Schizosaccharomyces pombe: one gene and its partner. Changing the gene in region 2 together with the main gene of any one other region gives a genetic interaction. Each region holds a gene or a part of one and is shown on either strand. Other genes may lie near its edges.

The links.
Region 1: of spt6 (region 2) and cut1, extra expression of one is lethal in a mutant of the other (dosage lethality), as found in Schizosaccharomyces pombe (one study listed by BioGRID).

What each region holds. Positions count from the first base shown.
Region 1 is NC_003421.2:641,783-645,542, reverse strand, and holds the start of cut1 (separase/separin), read right to left. Parts: upstream 2,135-3,760; 5' UTR 1,732-2,134; coding exon 1-1,731. Other genes in the region: taf5 (transcription initiation factor TFIID subunit 5), read left to right, coding at 3,099-3,405, 3,619-3,760. UniProt on the Schizosaccharomyces pombe protein: Caspase-like protease, which plays a central role in the chromosome segregation by cleaving the rad21 subunit of the cohesin complex at the onset of anaphase. During most of the cell cycle, it is inactivated by securin/cut2 protein.
Region 2 is NC_003424.3:4,215,193-4,218,952, forward strand, and holds the start of spt6 (transcription elongation factor Spt6), read right to left. Parts: upstream 1,670-3,760; 5' UTR 1,612-1,669; coding exon 1-1,611. Other genes in the region: ATP-dependent RNA helicase Has1, read right to left, coding at 2,226-3,760. UniProt on the Schizosaccharomyces pombe protein: Histone H3-H4 chaperone that plays a role in maintenance of chromatin structure during RNA polymerase II transcription elongation thereby repressing transcription initiation from cryptic promoters.

The DNA of each region.
Region 1 (3,760 bases), on a different chromosome or scaffold from region 2:
ATCATTAGTCAATTTATGTGATACAGCAATTTTGATACTCAAACTTATGCATTCACGTGCATAATTAACATTAGAAGATTTTACACACAAGTTGTAAAGATGATTGGAAAGCTTTTGAGGAAATTCAGCATCTTCATAGTAGGCTGCGAGATTTAAACAGCCTTCCAGAGAACTTTGAAATTTAGTCAACTCACTAAATGACCTAATTATATGAAATGTAAACATCAAAAACTTTCTTATTTTAAGTTGGAGATTTAAAAGCTCATCCTCGACAAGGATATCCCTCACAACCGATGAGAGTATCCACGATAAAATTTCTGATATGTTCAAAGCAAATACAGTATCATCAAAAACCGTCGAGTCATTGAAAAGTCGAAATGATCGCTCTATTGAATCCAATAAATGTAGAGCTTCTGAATATGGTAAAGCATTTTCGACAAAGAGCTGCTGAAGTGACGACAACTCTTGGATTAAATTGAACGGAAAACAAATGCTATTATCGTGAATTGATAATCGAAAAGAAAATAATAAAAATTTTAATTTAAAACTGATGTCTTCAAATGACAAAGAATAGCCTCTAATGACATATGCAGCGCTTAATTGGAAATCATTATATTTATAATAAAGTTGAGAAAGTTGAAGCAAAATATGCAACCTCGATTCTTTTGATAAATTTTCCAGAAGATGATGAAGTTGTGTCATATCTTTATTTAAAATAGATCCTTCAATATCTTCGCTTTTACATAATTGGACAACTTTTGAGAAAAGTTGGAGGATTCTCGTTTCAAGCTGATTTACATCAAACTCTTTATCGTCAGCTCTCTGGGAAGAAAGAATATTCAACCATAAAGCTATAGAGAGGATTAAAAGTTTGAACGATTGTAAGGCGTTATTTTGTATCATGGAAAATCTTGTCAACAAACGAGCTAAAATTTCTCTTCTCGAATTGGCCAATTGAACCTGGGAAGGAAAGCTTCTTTCAATCCATTGAAAAGGGCCATCTTCGCTTTGTAAGTTATTGATTGTATTCAAAGACAAACCGTTAATTTGACTTAAAGATAAACATCGTAATACATTGAGCTGAAATGTGACAACGATAGTGCCTATATTTAAGAAATAAGAGGCAGGAACCATAGGAACAAAAAGGCAGCTTTCTAATTGGATTTCTGAAACATCTAAAGTGGGATTAAGAAGGGTAGCAGTAGGGATGGCATCGTGGTCCCGATATGTCAGTAAAATTATAAGGTTTTTATGAGTTTTCATCAAAAGACTGATAGCTGGTTCAAAAATCTCCATGTCCAGGAGCCGATTACAAATTGAAACCCCGCTACGGATGCAATCATACAAATGACTTGTATTTTTGGTTACCACCTGCATTTGTTCGAGAATATATGTACAGCATTCTAACAGGTAGAAAACCTCGGGACGGTGAGCCGTATTTAATCTAGAAGGTGTACAAAACATCCTTCTAGTTTTCTCCTTATCTGTAGTGGATAGCTCCGCCCATTGCTTAGCTAAGTTACTGACTGCACATTTGAAAGCCACAAACAAATGCTCGAACGTCCACGAAGGTGCATCACGAGATATATTTTGCTTGAGGTCCTTTAATTTTACAGAAGCCTTGAGTCGCTTAACGAGAGTAATAGAGCAATGCTCAGGATAACTGAGAGCTGAAATGAACTTCTCTGGAGTCCAAGAAACTTTACTAGTAACGATTGACCTTGTAGACATAATGGAAACGAATGAATAGTAAAAAATATTAACCAGCAACAGTTACAACAATAAAAGGGATTTAAATTATTTAACGCCGTTCATGAAGAATAGGTTGCAAGAAATAACTAAGCCAATAGCAAATATCGACCAAAATATAAGATTTAATAATTTGACAGTGATTTTCAGTTCGCAAAGTTATATTACTAATTATTGAGAAGAGGAAAATATTAGTGACTTAAAAATCATGTAGATGTTTTATTATATGCTTATGAAAAGTAGATTAATCGATCTTCCCAACCAATAGAATATTATCAGCATTAATTAGAACATTGCAATAGTCGAAATTTGGAGCTGTTGGTTTTTATTTCGTCTAAAACGAAAAAACTGTCAAGTCGTCTCGCTGGATGAAGATAGGCTAGTTGGTAGCAAGGATGCTTTGGATGTTAAGGCAAATGAAAACACAGTACTTACCACCAAATCCCTAAAACTGGTCCAAAAGAAAGAAAACTGTAAAGAAGAAAATTAAATATAATTAAAAATGAATGTAAATAATTGATAGTTTACAGTTATTATCTACAGTCCATTACTTCATCGCAACCTACTATTTGTAAATTTCAATAATGTAAATAAATATATCAATAAATAAATAAACCGATTAAGACTCAAAACCATACAAATCTGTAACAGGAAAAAAAACATATAATTTCTGATAAACTCATTTTATCAATGCTACATCAATTTTTGTTATAAACTAATGATTTTGAAGGAAATATGAAATTTCCCAATTTTTTGAATTTTTTAAAAAAAACTTCTACATTTTCCCTATTTAAATTTCAACCCAACATTTAGTTTTATTTTAATAAGGGGCCCTACTATAATTTAATTAAAAAATTATAAACATCCCGAAATTGGGATGAAACTTCTAAAAAAAAAGTAAGTGAAAGTTTTTAAAACCGAATTGAAAATCAAAAAAGAATTTTAAAAAGTATCTAATTGAAAAAGTTTTACTATGCAAAACTTTTATTTATTTATTTTTTTTTTCTAGCGTTCATTGCCTCGCAATCCTGTGTTGACATTAAAACAATTTCATAGACAGTTCATTTTTGAGTAGGACAAAAGAAATAGTAATTTAGATAGGATTTCGACATCAAAACGCTCACAGACACTGTGGAACCTTTCCAAATTTCAGTTATTCATAAATCCTGCAAATTCCCAATTTAGCGTGGTACACAATGGTATGTTAATAGACACGAACTCGACATATGCTACTTCCTAGCAAGTTGCTTTGAGCTCTGCGCAGGTAATTATATGAATCACGGTCATTTGTAGATTTATATTTGGATTCTAATTAATTTCTTCAAGCTAGAGTATTGGAGAATTTAACCATGTCTGCCACTAATGGGCCGCAACCGCAGGATCTGAACAGAATTGTTCTGGATTACCTTGCGAAGAAGGGATACTCAAGGACCGAGGCGATGCTTCGTTTGGAAGCATCGGGTTCTGGCGTGTCAGTAGAGGAGAAGTTAAAAAGCATTGAGGAAACTCCAGATGCATACACACACACGTATACGATCTTACGAGACTGGGTGGATAGTTCGTTAGAATTGTACAAAGCTGAACTTCACAGGATATTATTTCCTATATTTGTTCACTCATATCTTAATCTCTTGTCTCAAGATCATTATGAAGCTGGTAAGTTGGTCATATTGGAGGAGGTTACGAATTTGTTACATGTTTGTTTCGATGATCTACGAACAAGAGGGGTATTTGAACTATTCTAAATACTTATTAGTTTCTTTATCTATTGAGTTTACAACTTGTCTTTATTTCTGAAACTCATTCCACTTGACCACCCATATTTAATTCTTTATAAGGATAAATGATAATTTTACTAACGTGCTATAGCAAAGCAATTTTACGAACTCTTCAAAGACGATCATACTGATCTTCATGACTTTGATGTAAAAAACTTAAAATCGCTGAGTCTTCCAAGCCATGTCGCAGAAGACCGCACTGCTCAACAATACCGGCAAAATAAATATCAACT
Region 2 (3,760 bases):
TCCAGCATTGTACAATTTGTCACGGAAAGACTTTCGAAATTGAGGATCATGAATAATTTCCTCTGCTAAAACTCTACGTGCCTTTTGAAGTACCTGCTCAGGTGATGACAGCTCATTTGTCACATAAGTACGACTTAGTTCTTCAGGCGAAAGGGTGTTGTCTTCCACAAAACGGAGACGAGCACCCTGTGCTACGTTGAACGAAAAGTCTTTAGCACTCATACCAAATTCTTTGACGAGATTGTAAAGTGATGATTTTCTAAATTTTTCAAAAAAAGAATACTTCGAACCTTGTGGACGACGAAGACCAGTACCCATCAGTAAGGCACGATCACGGATTTGTTCAGAATAAGTGAAATGTATGTAATCATTAAGGTCATCAATTGCATCAAGAGAGGAAGCAGCTTCACAGAAGGGAACTACTAAATCATCATTAATTCCCAAATCAGAGTACAATTTTAGGATATCTTGCTTCTTAGAATGAAGTGACCAAAACTTGGTGCAAAGGAAAAAAATATTCCACAAATCATTTTGACTTAATAAAGGAGTAATTGTGTTCCTCTCACGATTGTTATGCACTATATAATCACGACGGTGCTGCCATATGAAGGGTACTTCAAGACTATCACGAATAAAGAAGTGAACTACATAGCGAACAGCAGTTTGAAACGGCTCATATAGTTCAGCATCAATATCACGCCTATTTTTTAAGAGATAATCGATAATCCAAGCAACTTGTTCCCTAAATTCATCTTCAGAGCAATCAATGTTCCTCTTCATATAAAGTTGCATACGTTCAGGTTCATCCGTGATTCTTATGATCTCATCCTCCTCGGTAAGCATTTTATCTTTTAGTTCACTGGGCTCAAAAATGGTCTTCAAACTGACAGACTCTTCTAACTCGTCTTCAGCATCTTCATCTTCAAGGGCAAATGCGTAATCTGTTCCATCGCCAAAGACTTCGTATATTTGTATATAATCATCATCCGATATTCCTAAAGCCTCAGGTCGTACTGATTCTATGGGCGGACCAGTCTCATATTTTTCTTCTTGACGCTCTTCGTCTTCAAATTCGTCTTGTTCAATGAAATCTGCAAATTCGTCGATAACGCCAGCGCGGTGGCCTTGCGTGCGATTAGGAGCTTCATCATCGACTTCGTTTTCTTCTTCTTCTTCTTCCTCAGAAAATATGTTTTCAAGAGTCTCTTCTTGATCTCTTCCACGTTTTAAACGTCTCAACTTAGAAAAACGAGAGCCTTGGCCTGTATTCTCCATGACAAGTTCCAGATCTTCCTCATCAAGCATATCTTGATCAGCAGTACTTTCGGCATGCTTCTTACGTTTCTTTTTGCGCCGAATTTCCTGAGGAACTTCGTCTTCTTCATCTTCGACGATGAAACCCTCTCTAACTTGTCGCTCAGCTTCTTCATCAGTTGCAGATTCTTCAGAAGAGTCATTCTCATCATTGTCATTATCTAAAGGAATTCCATCCTTTTCCTCTTCATTGTTGTTGTCATCCACATTTGTGCCTTCTCCATTTTCAGCTGGATAACCATCCTCATTTTTATCACCATTGGTGGTTGGTGACCCGACAACTTCGTTTTCACTCATTCCTATTTCTATAGTGGACGAAGGAACGGCTTCTCGAAGGTTTGCGGTCAATTGTGGCAGAGAAATACAATACTTGAAGATGCGCTTGCTTTAGATGGTGATATTTTAATAAAAGTTAATGCAGCATCATAAAACATTTAAGGAGCACATTAAAATTCACTAGTATGTTATAAGACAACGCAACGTGCTTTGTAGTTCTAACAAATATTCAATCGTACATATAAGCATAAAAATAAAGTGCTTTGCAAGAGCTAATATGCAATGCTGCTAATCTGAATTGTTGTTACAAAATACCACAGTCCTTGATATACAAGACAGACGTTGTTGTTACGATCACGACCATTCGTTGCAATGATTAGTTTTGGCTTTATTTATAGCCGATATCAAACTCCCTTTGAATAACTTACACGGGTATTTACAATAAAAATTATGAAATCCATTATTTCAAACACGTAAACCTTTTGAGCGAAAACAACCCTATTTACCAATATTAAAAGGATGAAAGGAAAAAAAAATTCCCTTCAACCATTCAAAATCCAAGTCATTTGTAAAAGCCAGAAAAACCGAATTAAATAAACCTTTTAAATGAAATCAACTTCTAATATGAACGAAGTTTAGCGGCTCCATCCACGCTCTTTGTCTTGAGAAATAGCTGATGATCTTTGTTTTGAATAAACATCAACGTGATTCTTCTTATTATAACCCGCACGTCGTTCTTTTTTGTCTGTTCGTCCACTAGCACCAATAGTGATATTGACGTTTGGAGGATGAGCAAAACCGAATGATTTAGCAACTTTTGCGAGATCCAATTTATTAATATCAAAGATAGATTTTAAAGAATATGAGGCATAGGCCTGCAAGTAGGAACGGTATCCATCCTTTGCAGACTGCTGCAAATAATAATTTTTGGAAACAAGCTTTTCGAGCTGAGATTGAACATTAGCAACTTTATTGGCAGGAAATTCAAACTCATTCAAAGAAACCTTGGCAGTTTTCAAATAACGAAGGAAACCGAGCTCAGAAGGAGCGAGGAACATAAGGGATTTACCAGTTCCCTTTGTTCCTCTAGCTGTACGACCTACACGATGAATATAATCTCGGGGGTCATCAGGAGGATCGTACTGCACGATCCAGTCAACGGCTGGAATATCTAACCCGCGTGCAGCAACATTGGTGCAAAGTAGTATTCCCTTTTCGGCATTGCAGAATTCAAAAAAGGTGTTTGTACGACGCTGTTGCTTTTGCTTGCCATGAAGATCAAGTACTGGTAAATCTATATAGTTCAGTAATTCTGCCATATATTTGACAGAAGCACAAGATGACATGAAAACAATAACTTTTTTCTTCAAATTGCGTTTTAAGAAGGAAAATAAAAGAAGAAACCGTTTGTCAGAATCAACTACAACATAACCTTGCTCCAATCCTTCAACGGTAGAGGTAGGCTTACCAGAATCAACGTTAACATACAAGGGTCCGGGCTTAAGAGAGATACGAGCAAGATCTTCAACTTTAGTTGTCTGTGTAGCAGAAAACAGGAGGGTTTGTCGATTTTCCGAGGGAAGGATTTTCATGATTTGTCTCATTTCGTCCTCAAAACCAATCTCCAAAATTCTGTCGGCTTCGTCAATCACTAAGGATCGTAAATTGCGGAATACAAATCCTTTGGTATTTTGCAAGTGATCCAGTAAACGACCAGGAGTAGCAACTAATAGGTTAACACCTTTCACCAATTTATCAGCTTCAGCACGGCGATTAGCACCGCCAATGACGATACCAAATGTTTGGTGATGGTATTTCAACAACTCCTTTGCGACACCAAAAATTTGAAGAGCCAATTCACGAGTAGGAGATATAATAATAACACCAGTACCATTACGAGGCTTAAATTTCAATGCATAAAGCATTTCAATGGTAGGAATTAGAAAAGCCAAAGTTTTACCACTACCAGTTTTAGCTGCACCTAAAACATCACGACCGGCCAAAAGAGGAGGAATAGAGCGCTTTTGAATTTCTGTCATCGTTTCAAAGCCCATTTCTTTAATTGCCTTTTGGATGTTTTCAGAGAGTTGTAGGTCTGAAAACTTTTCAATATCCGAAGTGGAAGAAGCGTTCAGGTTGACAGATTTTTGAACACGCTCATCTTCATTTT